4 linked regions of the Saccharomyces cerevisiae S288C genome follow. Changing the gene in region 3 together with the main gene of any one other region gives a genetic interaction. Each region holds a gene or a part of one and is shown on either strand. Other genes may lie near its edges.

Region 1 (4,318 bases), on a different chromosome or scaffold from region 3:
ATCGACTGTGTATATTTCATATTTTCGCGATTCTTCACGGTGAGCCAACCATGGAAACTTTACCACTTTCATGTTATCAGAGACCTTTGGTTACTGGCAATTTTATTATGCTTCGTTGGTAAGCCTTAATTATTTTATGAATGTTCGCCAATATTATATGTTTCTGCCACCTAAACCAGTAACTTCGTTTTATTTTTGTTGCGATGCGAGATGATTGATTTTGAATATTCTTACGATTACAGTAGCAGTCAACCTGAAAAAGGCAAAAGAAAAATAACGACTTACAGAGGATAACAGTACAAGGGTTCATTTTCATCTGTAAAACATTTTAAAAATGTGCTTTCAGTTTGTGGGGCAAGCTAAAGATAACTGTTCTCAGAAAGAGTGTTCATATTATACTATTTATTTCCTTTCCATTACAAATTGATGTACGTAATTTTTTTTTGCTTACAAATCATTAAGAAGGATACAAAAGCTTGCACCTTATTACTACGATGTCTTTACTGCATTATTTCTCCCTTCAAAGATAACAAATCACCGCAAGTTCTTATAACAAGTTCCTTTTTGAAAATTGTTTTGGAATGTTTTCGAGCAGGATCGAGTAAGTGCGTCAACTCGATTAAGATATTTTCTTCCCGGTTCAAAGCGCCGCTGACTACGGCTTTTTTGGCCATTTTTAGCAGGCTGCTACTTAGGTGATATAACCATAATAGGTTTGTTCTTGGTTCAAATGTAGCCCAGGATATTGGCTGAGGCAGCATGCTTCTCATCAGTTCATATATCTCGAATTGAAGAGTCCCCCGGCCTTGGAAGAAATAATGATGGTCTAATCTTGTATAGGAAGCCTTATTGTTGTCTATATTCAAGAAACGACAGCACTTCATATCAATTAAAGTAACATTCCCTTTAGAGTCTATCAAAATATGGTCCAAAGTTAGATTCCTGTGTTCGAGCTGAAATTTGGATTCAGCAACATATAAAATACTGCTGCACTGCCAGAAAATAGACAATGCTTGAGAGTAATCAATGTTAGAGCACCTTGATAGAGGAGTTCCCTGGTATTTGAAAAATAAGTACAGTATCAAGTTTTGGTCATTTTCACATTGATTTGAGGGCACAACATAAGCTTGCAGTAAATTGGCGACACCGCTAGTTCCTTGTATTAACCGTAATGATTTCAATTCATGTAAGGATATCAAGTTTGAAGTAGTCAAATCACTTAGAGCCCCTAGACATACTTTCTTGCAAATGAGTGAAGTTTGCATATCGCTATGATAAGTTTGCCAAAAGTTATGAGACAGCTGAACCGATCTAGTATTCAACGTAAACAAGCCTAATGACTGAGCTTCACGTAGATCATGTAATATATACTTAACATCACAAAGTTGTAATATTTGTTGCAAAATTGAATCATTGTAGTCCAAAGTGTTTATGGGAGTGACTTCTGAAGATAAGGATGCCAATGATGTTGAATTTTTCAATTTCAGTTGAATCTTGTCCTTTGAGACTTGGTCTGGAACAGGCAATGATATTTGGCAAGTTTTTTTGATCGGATGATTCAGTTCTTGTGTATTTCCTTTACGCCTTACTTTGAGCTTATTTAGTGAAGAATGTGATGTTTTATGCTTCAAACTTCTAAAGGAAAGGTTCGATGATGAATGTTTGTGGTTTAGCTCCTTCGTGCTCTGATGATCGGGCATAATAAATCCAGAATTCCTCTTCTTCTCTGTGTGTTTGCCACCACCAAAAATAGAATTGTGAAAACTTGAAATTGAAGACTTCTTTTGTAACGAATTGGTTGGTTTTGGCTGAACAAAGTTCGGATCTTGGTCATTCACAGATCTGGAAGATAGCGACCTCGACAATAGGTTATCATTTTTCCAGAACTTCCACTTTGAAGAAGAGGTGGTAGAAGTAAAGGAATTAACTGAGTTCACACTGGATGAATGAACATGAGAACTTGTCTTCTCGTCACCCCAGCATTTGAAATCACTACCGCTCCGAAACTTAAGTGATCTAAAATCTTTAACAGGCTCATCCCTTGATAAAGTCGATTGGTTTGAAATAGGTCTCAAGGGTGTACGAAACTTGGAGTTAGTCACCTTTGTAAGACCTTGCTTCGACAACCTTTTAGATGGAGAGAGCAGCTTGTTTTCCGATAGCACCGACTGAGATACATTTTCTTTGTTTGAAGAGTGAGCGGTATCATTAATATTAATTTTATTGAAGAGTTGTTTGAGCGATGAACCTGTAGAAGATCTTTTACCATAGTAATCATCGTTTTCGATGGTTTTACCTACAGGCCTTGTTTTGGATGTTGGAGAATCTGAAGAAGTAAAAAAGGATTGACTCTCATCTTCTGCTGAACCCTTGTGCGAAGTGATTTTGTAAACTTTTCTTCCTACATCCACTGCGGGGCTTCCCATGGATGAAGAATTTAATGAGCTGTCGGCATCATCGCTTTCTGCTACTTCGAGAGCAAAATACCTTCTGTCAGTCATCTGTTGATCTGCTACCGCATCAAAATTCATTTTCTCAATACAAATAGCGCATGTATGTGTGTTTGGTGAAATGATTTTACTACAACTAAATATATTAATACCAATACGCTTTAAGTTATTGTTTACTATTTTCGCTTTTCGAGAAGAGAAGATGTTACAAAAAGTTTCGCGAATTGCTATCAAAACTGAAAAAAAAAAAAAACGTTAGGCGTATCACAAACGAGAATTTAAGGTGTAGCAAGATAGAAAAAGGCACCTCTTTCAAAGCAAGCAAATGAGCGATAGAGATCAGATAGAACCTGTCACAAATGCATTAGATGCAGAAAGTGATTCTAGTGATGATTTTGGGAATTTTTCAGATGCCTCAGTTGAAAATGACCTCTATAACCAGAATTCTACTTTAACGACGTCTTCCGAATCTGTAGTAGATAACTGCTTGAATAAGATACTACCAAAGGGAGAATTTGACCTGGAAGAAGAAACCATAAAGAATGACTGTTTCAAGCTGAGCAAACTTATTGAAGATGAACGACCCCATGTCATTTATGAACAACTCGTACAATTAGATCCTGTGTTACAGCCATTCATATGGAATAAATCTCATATACGCAGAAACTTGCTCCACATTTTGAGATTATCGGATAATAATGGCTCTGAGGGTGTTGGTACGAAGAGGGAGGAAGAACCGTTGAATGATGAGTTGTTCAAAAGGATATGCGATGCAGTGGAGAAAAATGAGCAAACGGCTACTGGTCTCTTCCTGAGGGATAATTTCAAAATTGACTATACACCACCAATGACTTTAAAATCTCTTCAAAAGGAAGAGGAGCGTGAGCAAGAGCAGCATATACCGCAATTGCTTATGGCAGATTTTACTAGTATGGATGAAGAATCTTTACGCCAATACCACGATACATTGTGTCAATCCATTGACTTTTTGGTTAGTAAATCAAGATCATTGAAGAAACAACAGCGAGACCTCCTAAAGGATAAGACAACTTTTGAAAATGTAGTGACGAATTTGACAGGACATACCCAAAGACTACAGCGAGACGAAATTGCATTGTATAACAAAAAGCGAAACAAAAAGAAAAGGTTCAGTTGGGTAGGATACTAATCGCCGTCTCGGCAAAGCAGGTTGAACGTTGAAGTTTGAAGAGAATAAAATGTTATTAGTAGCATAGGGGACCAGACCAAAAGTCGTAAAAGAGCAATATACTTTTTTATAAAACATACAATTATACAATTAGTCCCCCCCTCAAGAAATAAAAAGCCCCTGTGCGAGGGATATACATAAACATTGAGCATTAATATTTACAACTCCCAATGAGCAATAATGGGTTTATTACATAAATAGAACGGCGAAAGATTTAGTTTCTAGTATCTTCACCGTCAGTAAATGGCATCTACGCATCTCCTTCTTTCCCTTCTTCTTCTTCTTCCTCTTCTTCTTCTTCCTCTTCTTCTTCCTCTTCCTCTTCCCTGGCAGTATTTTCACCAATTCTCTTGTTTAAGACGGCCTGTGCGATTTTACTTGCTAATCCATTTTTTTCCTCCAAGATTTCGTTTTCTACCTCAAATTCGGAGGAAGAAGAAGGTGCAACGGATGTCGAAGCTAAGGAAGACTCTGACTTACGATGAAAAGTAGAAGAGAATAATGGAATGTTAGAGAGGGAATTGTCACTATTGACCAATGAGACGCCATCGGAATCTTGGTTATGGTGTTCATAGGCATCGTGGTTGTCACGTTGGCTGATGATAGGTGATGACGAATCTTTTTCTTGTCTTTTTATTTTCTGTTTTCTTAGCATTTTCCT
Region 2 (3,953 bases), on a different chromosome or scaffold from region 3:
GTGGTAGCTTTTATTCAGAAACAGCGAAAGTGCATATAAATATACCGCATCGGACCAGTAAACACTTGATTTATCGAGAATGGAGCATTCAGCATAGAGCAGTTCGGCCAAAAACTCTGCGGTACTGTAGTTCAACTGCTGAATAGCCTGCTGAATGCAGTCCTGAAGCTGTATGATGGTGCTCAAAGCTTGATCATCAAAGCTGGGGATTCCTCTCGAGAGGGTGAACGGTGCTAACTCAGGATTTACCGCCATGCTATTTTTATTATGTATCCTGCACGAAAAGTTCGTGTCGATTTATGAATAGATATGCAGTCACCAAAACAGAGTCTAAAACTCTCACAGCTAGGTATGGTTTTTTGATAAACTTTTCTGTGGCACCTTTGCTTGCACTTTGATCCTTTTGGTTTACTTTCAGCCTGTTCCATCCTTTTGATCAAAAAAAAAAAGGAAAATCAAGCGCGGGTAATAACGGCACCATTAAATACTAGTAGTACTATATAGATGGTATAAAGAAATGATTTAAAACAATACGATTATATGATATTTATACATCTGTTTCAGTTGAGCTTTTTTTCCATAGAGCTGGTGGTACGAAGATGGCTTTTGGCGAGGGCGACCGAACCAGATAGCTGCGTCAAGGCCAATAGAAGCAACAGAACAGTATTCAATGCCAACAATAGCGTGCTTGCTTGTGAGTTTGGTGGATAGGAATTCCAGCACCACTCGTGCAAGACGTACCAAATGGGACCAACGAAGAAGGGCATTCCCGACCAAAAGATCAGTATAGGCAAAGTCCAGTGATACCAGGATAGAAACTGGTAGTGGAGGGACCTTGAAAATAGGACGCCGATGAAGTTGGATGCGATTAGAACGAATGGAATAGTCTTGGCGGGATTGGCATTGAGCACTGCATTTTTCCTCAGCGGATGGCACAGGGAAGACCATAAATCGGGCAGGATGCGAGGGTATCTTGTGACGAACAGTGTGGTGAGCGCTATCAGGTGGCTGATTAAAAGGGCCAAGTGGAACCTCTTATCATTGAAAGCCTCTTCATCCATCATTTGCCAATTGATACTCCATTGGTACATAAACTTCCTGCCGAAATTAAAAGCGCAATGCAGGTACTGTTGCGGAAAGCTGCGCAGGAAGGGCACTGCAACTGCGACTTGCCATGCAATCATCGCAACGAGATCCAACAAAGTAAGGATTACGTTCGCGTCATTAAGGATGAATAGAGAAATCATCATTGCAGGGAAATACAACAGCGCATTCATCTTAATGCTCACAGCCATACTGTATGTTGCGGAGATCACCAGCGCAAGGGACTTCTTTAATTTGGGGCGCTGATGGCACCTGCTGGCCACGATAGCCCCCAAAACCGTGACGACCATAAACAAAGTAGTGAAGCAATCATTGAATAACCGTAGCACGTAAATAGAGTGCAATCTTTTAGAGAGGCACGCCAAGACCACACACCACGGTGGTAGATGTAAAAGGTAGTAACACGCCATTTGTAACGCCAGTGTAAGGAGATACAAGTATCTGAAAAACACTTGCCCGCGCTCAACGTGGTCCATTCCCTCTGTTAGCCAGTACATCATCTTGTAGATCAAGACGTGGCCTGCTGGATACACCAGCGGGCCCGTTCCACCACTCACCTGAGAGTAGTCCAGCATGCCATCGAGCTGAATCATCTCGATCTGCTCCATGTACGCCTTGTAATCGATCTCTGTGTAAGCTACCTTCTTAATGATAATCTTGCACAGCATGCTTTCGAACAAAATCAAAAGGGGCATAACGATAAGATTGGCCCTACAATCGAAGATCACGTAGCGCACACCGTCCTTGAGATCCTGCCACAGATCCAGCGGAGGTCTGACAAATTGCTTCCTTTGCAGAGACTTTTCACCTTGCGGAGACTGTTCACCTTCCATACTACTAGTATCTAACTCTTTCTCTCTCCCATACACACTCTATGATACTGTTTTCACTCCCAACTAGTGTACTGCGTTGTTCTTTAAGTTCGATAGCGAAATTTCTTTAGCTTGTTTACAGCACCCAGCAACCGCACACAGAATGTGACGGCAAATGCATTTTACATGGAAGGCTATCTACAAAACAGCAATAAAGAGTCATGTAAGATTGGGAAATCTCTAATGTGACATTCCATACTTGTTGCAACAATTTTGGGATGCTTCTGCGTCGTACGACCCTGTATTTACCTTCTCTAGCTCATCGCTTCCCAGGGTCCACGTTAATTTTTCAATTTTTTCTTGCGTGTCGAAGATTCAGGTCTCGAGAAATTTGTCAAAAATTTTTCACTAGATATTAAGAACTATATACATCGAATAAGATGCCAGCACAGAAGAGATAGGCAATCAGTTTAGATACTACAGACACTATCCAATAGTGCAAAGCAAAAGCAGCATAGAAAAAAGAGAATCCCGTTTCCAGCTTTTTCTCTTTTTCCCATTCGTTTTTCCTGATCTTTTTTTCTGCATCGTGGCACCTAGAACAAGAGGTACCTTCCATCCTTCGCTTAATATTTGATACGACTTTTTTGATTTCCATTATTATTATTTGTTACTATTATTATTTATCATTTGGGTTTCGGTTTTTTGTAATAATTTTCTTTTTTTTTTTTGGCTCTATTTCACTAAGACATCGTATATATGCCAGGCCAGATAATCAGCATTCCGTTTTTGTCGCAGAACGAGGACATGGATAAATACTTGTTGGAGTACCGCAGTTTGAAGCTCCTTCATCAGTCCAGTAATTCCTTCCAGTCTCACAATGCGCCCTCCCACCAGTCGAACTACCACCCCCATTACAATCACATGAAATACAACAACACTGGTAGCTATTACTATTACAACAACAACAATAACAGCAGTGTAAACCCACATAACCAAGCTGGTCTACAATCCATTAACAGATCTATTCCATCGGCCCCGTACGGGGCTTACAACCAGAACAGAGCTAATGACGTACCATATATGAATACCCAAAAGAAACACCACAGATTTAGCGCTAACAATAATTTGAACCAGCAAAAATACAAGCAATATCCCCAGTATACGTCCAATCCAATGGTTACTGCACATCTGAAGCAAACGTACCCTCAACTGTACTACAATAGCAACGTCAATGCTCACAACAACAACAACAACAGCAACAACAACAACAACAACAACAACAACAGCAACAACAACAACAATCTTTACAACCAGACGCAGTTCTCCACGAGGTACTTCAACTCGAACTCCTCTCCCTCGTTGACTTCTTCCACTTCTAACTCATCCTCTCCATACAACCAAAGCACCTTCGAATACATTTTGCCGTCAACTTCGGCAGCTTCCACAAATTTATCGTCGTCATCATCAAACAACTCTATGCACACCAACCCAACCACTGCAACATCGACATCCGCCGATTTAATCAATGATTTACCCGTGGGCCCCACGTCCAGTTCGCTTATCTCGGATCTACATTCTCCACCAACTGTATCTTTCCTACCAGCAAGCCAAACCCTGCTCATGTCCTCCACCACATCTAGCTCTATTGGCACCAACATAAACCCACCGCAACATTCACCATCCCCATCGCAAAGGGAGGATTTTTCGACGGCACCAGTGAACATGTCTTCGTCCGCATCACTCTTGATGAATGATTCTTCTTTAGGATGGGGGTCTAACCACATGAACGTATCTTCATCCTCTCAACCAGCATCATCAAGACCCTTTGGCATTTGGAATACTGACATGAGCGTTTGGAGTTGAGATGTTTACGTATATTTTTATGTATATTATTATCATTAGTATTACTATTATTGTTATTATTTATGCACGGTTCCTATTTACACGCGGCGTTTATATTTTACCATTGAATATTTAAGATCTCTTTGAATTTTTTCTCGAATTCGTTTGCCTTTATACGTCCCTGGCTTCGTC
Region 3 (3,569 bases):
TTGTTTGATGACAGAATTCGATGATGTAGTATTATATGAGGAATCTGGCCTGACATCATTAAAACTATCTTCCTGGTCTATTTTCCCTGGAACATTACCCATGGTTTGTTTGCTACTCTGGGTTCGGTTTATACTAGCTAGATTATTTGGTTCTAAGGTGCTTCTTCGTTTACTAAAACACCCACTACATCAGCTCGATGATGAACCTTCACTTGCCCCTTTATACTCTAAAAACCTTGTCGACCCATTTAAGGAAGTTGTTACCCGGTTAAAGTAAAGGTGTCATTAAAATAGTTTCGTACTGGCAAAGAATACGGCTTTTATACATAATTCGAAGTGAAATGGCATAAAAAAGTTACAATTTATTTTGGCTTTACCTTATTTTTTTCATAATTTGTATTCATTATAACAGTAATGATAACATAATACTGTTACTACTAATAATGATAAGAATATGATGGTAATACAAAAACAATACTCATAATAATAACAGTAATAATAGTACTAAAAAAAGACATACGTATATATGTTCCTTCCTTCTCCCATTATTCTTGCCTGGGCTCCCTCCGGTGCTATCATTACTTAGACTTCGGATATAGCTTTTTTTTTACAGATGATAGTTCATCGGGAGATAGATGGCCCAATTCGACATTTTCATCGAACTCTAGCAATTTTAAATCAGTTGTTATTTGATTTATTTTACCGTCATCAAGTTTTAGTTCATCAAAATATGGACTACACAGGCATTGTAGAGCATTAAATCTTTCTAGTGGATCATATTTCAAAACGTCAGCTAGAAATTCCACAGTTTGATCATCTTCTTTCTTGAAAACACGTGACAATGGTATTGGTTTAATTTGCGGGAACTTATGCTCCATATAATTGGGATTCATAGAGCAAATTTCTTGCTTTGATGGAGTACCTAAGATTTTAATGATTTCCACTAGTTGATCAATACCACTTTCTCCAGGGAACATTGGTTGGCCCAATAGCAGTTCCGCCATTACGCAGCCAGAGGACCATATGTCGATTTGGTTGGTATAATTTGTTGCGCCGAAGATTAGCTCTGGTGCTCTATAGTACCGTGAACAAATATAGGAAACGTTAGGTTCAGTAGGTTTCAATTGCTTTGCACTGCCGAAATCGCACAGTTTTAAGGACCAGGTCTCAGGATCTACTAATAAATTTTGAGGCTTAATGTCTCTATGACAGACGTTCGCGAAATGATGGAGGTAATTCAATGACTTGAACAATTGAAACATGTAGTACTTTATTTCCAATCTTGACATCGGCGTACGTTGATGGACGAAATGACGTAACCTCTGGTACAAAGATTGTGGCATGTATTCTAGTATCAAATTTAAATAAATCTCATCTTGGGAGTCCCTTTCATAGAAAAAGTACTTCAGATCTATTATATTTATGTGACTCAGCATTTTCATTATTTCCAGCTCTCTGTTCTTGAATCGTTTATCTTGCAGGACTTTCTTAATAGCAACTTTTTCATTAGTTTCTTGAATAACAGTGGCAAATACCACACCAAACGAACCATGCCCAACTACTTCGGTGGTAGGGAAAGATATCTGCACCGGATCATTCGGGTCTATCGTAGGTGGAGGATGGGCGTAGTAAACCTGTTTTGACACTATGTTATTACTGAGATTCGGAGAATTATTGCTTTGAATATTCATCCTGCGCGAGTTCTAGCGTTGCGTGATTAGTGTTGCCGTGTTGTAATGTAATGCTATGTCAAGATCTTGCCCAGTAATGTGTGAATCAGACGTCGGTGGTTGGCTATTCTGGAAAAAAAGGTGTTAAAATGCAATGCGCCAGAAAGAAAAGGAAATAAGACAATGGCAACGACCGATTGGAAATAATCTGCTGGTCTTCCTACCACTCCTTCTTGTGTAAGATCTTCAATGGACCCGTGCTTTGTAACCCGCAAGCCTTACAGAACCCCTTGGTAGTATTATTATCCGGAGTGAGCAGAAGCCACGAATGCGCACAGTCGGCGGGTAATGAACTATCACGCTATAAATACTGACATTATTTAAAGTTTTTATATGGTGCTCACATCTTAGACGATTATTGGGTAAAATGGCAGGATTCCACCAGACGGTCACGCAGGTTATCAATACCTTCTCCGGTAACGCCACTACATTTGACGAGCTCTATTCGGATGTCCGGCTTGAACAGACACTTCAACTCGCTCTCTACCAGTAAACACCTTCGATGAAGCTCGGACTTGTCCTCCACTAAATCAATCTTGTTCAACACAACGATAACAGCACACTCGTATCCTATTCGATTTTCGTCTCTATTGATTAATTCTTTTAGTTCTTGCAAGGTTTCGTCAAACCGCATTGAAAGGCTCACATCTATACACCATATCATCGCTTGTGTCTTATCAAAATAGTTATCCCAAAATGGCCTTAATGTGCGTTGCCCCCCAATGTCCCATAGAGATATTGTCACATCTTTTATCATCAGACTATGTATTTGAAAACCCACAGTAGGCATTATACCATCGTTATTTTGCTCATCCTTGGGCAATAGTTTGTTTACTATCGTTGACTTCCCCGAATTGTCTAGTCCTAGAATCAGACAGCGAATTTCTTTGTCCCTGAGCTTCTGTTTCCTGATAATACTTAGTAGTCCCATGTATTCTTCTACACCTTAAGCTTCCCTCTTATTATCTTTATAAATTAGTGCGATGGCTTTTTAGATTTTGTCATGGAAACGGACTGAAAAAGTACTAGTAAAATAGCAATATAAACATAATCAAATACCTGCGTCAAAACTCATGTTAAGCAGCATACGCACTAGTGACTAATTTGGGTGGTCGGTTGATTATGTCAAGGAAATCTATAGTGCAAATAAGAAGATCTGAAGTAAAGCGGAAACGAAGTAGCACCGCTAGCAGTACAAGTGAGGGGAAAACTCTTCATAAGAACACACATACATCCTCTAAAAGGCAGAGAACTTTGACAGAATTCAACATCCCAACTTCATCGAACTTACCTGTCCGTTCCAGTTCATATTCATTCTCAAGGTTCAGTTGTTCAACATCCAATAAGAATACAGAGCCAGTAATTATTAACGATGACGATCACAATAGCATTTGCCTTGAAGACACTGCAAAGGTCGAAATCACCATAGACACAGACGAGGAAGAACTAGTTAGCTTGCATGATAACGAAGTCAGCGCAATAGAAAATAGGACCGAAGATCGAATAGTAACGGAATTGGAGGAGCAAGTAAATGTTAAAGTCTCTACAGAAGTTATTCAATGTCCTATTTGTCTAGAAAACCTTTCTCATTTAGAATTGTACGAAAGAGAGACACACTGTGATACTTGCATAGGCAGTGACCCGAGCAATATGGGAACACCTAAAAAGAATATCAGGAGCTTTATTTCTAATCCATCATCTCCTGCAAAAACGAAGAGGGATATAGCTACGTCAAAAAAACCAACAAGAGTAAAACTTGTTTTACCAAGTTTCAAGATAATTAAGTTCAATAATGGCCACGAAATAGTTGTGGATGGTTTCAATTATAAGGCCAGCGAG
Region 4 (3,114 bases), on a different chromosome or scaffold from region 3:
CCTTAAACCACTCGGCCAAACTCCCATTGTATGTTGGAAGAATTGGATTTAAATGTCTATTATAGCATTAAATATCTTTAAATACATTCAAGAAATGGCGAAATTATTTCTTAGTGTTGGAATAAAAATCAACTATCATCTACTAACTAGTATTTACGTTACTAGTATATTATCATATACGGTGTTAGAAGATGACGCAAATGATGAGAAATAGTCATCTAAATTAGTGGAAGCTGAAACGCAAGGATTGATAATGTAATAGGATCAATGAATATTAACATATAAAACGATGATAATAATATTTATAGAATTGTGTAGAATTGCAGATTCCCTTTTATGGATTCCTAAATCCTCGAGGAGAACTTCTAGTATATTCTACATACCTAATATTATTGCCTTATTAAAAATGGAATCCCAACAATTATCTCAAAATTCACCAAATTTTCACTTAGGTATTTTCTTTTATAAAGTCTATCGTTATAAAAATACTATATAGATCCCATAGGTGCTTATTATAGCAGCAGAAGAAAGTAGAAAACGATTTATTCTCCTTTATTAAGCGTGATATTCAATAACTTCCCAGTTCAACCCATTGCTGGTTACAGTGGAACCTTTCTTCAAATTTTCGTAGCTTTGTGGAATTTTGTTTACTTCCTTACCGTAGCTTAATAAGAACTCAGATTTACCTGAATCTTTTTCAAGTAATCTGATGAAGTTCAAGCCTTCAATAGTGTTATTATTCTTTTGGGACAAAAACCCTTGAATCCATCTACCAATAACAATAACCAAACCATCATAAGCTTCGTCAGTAACTTTGAGGACAATTGACCTAGCATTCGACGAGAACTTCTCATTGTTTGGTGAGACGATGACTAGATCTTCTCTTGATGGGTCAACTGGTTGCCACAATTCTCTGAAAGAGACGCTTTCTTTGTCGGCACCGAATGGGTAAACAGCGCCTGTTTCCTCGACACAACCAGAATCCCAATTTTTCCAAGTGGTGTTCACTTCGCCACGATGGGTGTTTGGAACGTTCAAGTACACATTTGTATCCAACCAGAAATTGAAATCTTGAGTAACGACACCGTTTCCTTGATCATTAGCTTTAACTGTTTCGTTTGTACCGGCAAAGGCCCATTCGAAAGGAAAAGATAACTCATCACCGCTTGGCTTAACAAATGGTCTCAAGGAAATATAGTGCCCATCAGTTGAAACAGAGGATAAGGTGAATGTTCTTTCGTTTGGATGAGGACCCACTTGAAACAATAATCTTTTTAATAATGCTGGCATTGTAACTTAATTTTTTGTTTGTTGTTGTTTAAGTTCTTTTATCCTTCCTTAGATAACACCTTAAAGCTCCAGTTACAACAGCGGTGAGAATTGACTTTATATTCGGGGCACTTCCGGTTGTTTTACGAACATGTGATTCGGAAATTTTATGCAAGACGACACGGAACGGAACGTATGCCGGCGGAAAAGCTCACGTGTGAAGAAGAAAACAAAAAGAGTAAGCTGGATTTTCTTTTTCGGAGATTCTGTAGAATTTTTTTATTAGTGCAATGAGGTAAAAAGGAAACTAATATTAAATTCTGAAGGTTATGTTACATAGTTTTTATTATTATTATCGTATATTCTATAAGTGTACCATATAAAATAATGTCTTTACTTAGACTTAAGTGAGAGATCTCTGTAAAATGTTGGATAAAAAAGAGATAATGAACTAAAAGGGGTAGATAAATTAACGTTCTGTTAAGTTTTGCTGATGAAAAATAACATTAGAAAATTCAGCTAAAATGAGCGGACTGAGGGCGACTTAGTTAGAAATTGTGCCACATTGGTTTGGATACTTTCTGTCAGTCAATGGTTGAGGGAATAAACCATTGAACATCAATCTTTGAGCATCCCATTCCAAACTAGATTCTGTCTTGTAACACCAGATAATCCAACCCCCTCTCATTTCAAAGGCATCTAGTTGTGCCTCCACATAACGTCTTGTGTTTTCCTTTCTTTCGTCAGACCAGTAAGCTATATCATCGTTGTTAGCACAAGAGCCAATGTAAGAAGATGTTTGGTCACCATTGACCCAAGAACCGTCGTATCTAGCGCCGAAGCCAACACTATTCAACCATTTTGTACAATCAGTCAAAGCGGCAGCAAACTCACCACAAACAGTCCAGTGGGATTCATTCAAAACTCCGGTACCCCATTCACAAGCTACTTTAATATGTTCATCAATGGATCTTTCCAATTGATCAGAAGCAAAGACTTGGTAGTGATGATGGTCGATAGTGACACCCCAGTAGCCATCGTTTTCAGTCATGAAGTCATCCCAATAATTGTATGGTTGGAAAGCGTCATGGATGATGATAACTTGGTCACTCTTGATGTTGTTTCTCAAGTATTCGTAAGCAGGTGCCAAGTAGTCATTCTTCATTTTATCCATGTCTAGAACAGGACCCAATGGCTCATTAATCAATTCGATACCAATAACAGTGTCCAAGTATTCCTCCGCAGAGTATTTTTTCAATATGTAGTTCAAGACATTTGTAGTAACGGCCAAATTGCTGTCTTCCAAAAACTTGTATGAATCTCTCAAACCAGAGTTATCAAACCCGTTCTGCGAACCAGCGGCACCATGCAAATCAACCCAAACTTTCAAGCTGTTGTTTCTAGCCCAACCGATGGCTTGGTCTAGGTAAGATTCCTGTAGGCCGCTAACATAAGGATCATCGTCCAAAGTTTGGAAAGCCCAGTAACCGATAGGAATTCTGACAAGGTTGAAACCTTGGGAAGCAATATTAGCGAAATCTTGTTCTTGGTAGAAAGTAGACCAATGGCTCTGTAAACGGCTTTTAGCCAAATCCTTACCTAAATATTGACAGAAGTGATATTCGTCGACAGGAATTCCTTCGTCGTTGTCATCATTTGTACGGAAAGCCTCGAACAAAGATGGAGTAATGTATGGTTCAAGAAGTAACCAACCACCAATGTTGACACCACGGATTGGTTCTCCGAGGGAACCGTGGTCATAATCGTAGTATCTTTTCTTGTTCTCCTCATGAACAAATTGAATGGAAGAAGGGTCTCTTGCAGGGACTGGGGTAGCGAGTACTG

What was found.
Region 1: mutations in RIM11 (region 3) and ALK2 together harm fitness more than expected from each alone (negative genetic interaction), as found in Saccharomyces cerevisiae (2 studies listed by BioGRID).
Region 2: mutations in RIM11 (region 3) and ALG3 together harm fitness more than expected from each alone (negative genetic interaction), as found in Saccharomyces cerevisiae (3 studies listed by BioGRID).
Region 4: mutations in RIM11 (region 3) and HRI1 together harm fitness more than expected from each alone (negative genetic interaction), as found in Saccharomyces cerevisiae (3 studies listed by BioGRID).

Annotation. Positions count from the first base shown.
Region 1 is NC_001134.8:205,407-209,724, reverse strand, and holds ALK2 (protein kinase ALK2), read right to left. Parts: upstream 2,532-4,318; coding exon 501-2,531; downstream 1-500. Other genes in the region: HIR1 (Hir1p), read right to left, coding at 1-72; YBL008W-A (uncharacterized protein), read right to left, coding at 77-316; LAA2 (Laa2p), read left to right, coding at 2,776-3,618; bifunctional glycerol-3-phosphate/glycerone-phosphate O-acyltransferase SCT1, read right to left, coding at 3,908-4,318. UniProt on the Saccharomyces cerevisiae protein: Serine/threonine haspin-like protein kinase involved in cell cycle regulation.
Region 2 is NC_001134.8:69,191-73,143, forward strand, and holds ALG3 (dolichyl-P-Man:Man(5)GlcNAc(2)-PP-dolichol alpha-1,3-mannosyltransferase), read right to left. Parts: upstream 1,938-3,953; coding exon 561-1,937; downstream 1-560. Other genes in the region: anaphase promoting complex subunit CDC27, read right to left, coding at 1-255; YBL081W (uncharacterized protein), read left to right, coding at 2,676-3,782; glutamyl-tRNA(Gln) amidotransferase subunit PET112, read right to left, coding at 3,880-3,953.
Region 3 is NC_001145.3:544,247-547,815, reverse strand, and holds RIM11 (serine/threonine protein kinase RIM11), read right to left. Parts: upstream 1,692-3,569; coding exon 579-1,691; downstream 1-578. Other genes in the region: SIP5 (Sip5p), read right to left, coding at 1-102; Arf family GTPase CIN4, read right to left, coding at 2,086-2,661; DNA cross-link repair protein PSO2, read left to right, coding at 2,853-3,569. UniProt on the Saccharomyces cerevisiae protein: Serine/threonine protein kinase that is thought to function in regulating kinetochore activity and entry into meiosis. Could phosphorylate IME1.
Region 4 is NC_001144.5:729,001-732,114, reverse strand, and holds HRI1 (Hri1p), read right to left. Parts: upstream 1,291-3,114; coding exon 556-1,290; downstream 1-555. Other genes in the region: EXG1 (glucan 1,3-beta-glucosidase), read right to left, coding at 1,814-3,114. UniProt on the Saccharomyces cerevisiae protein: Unknown. Non essential.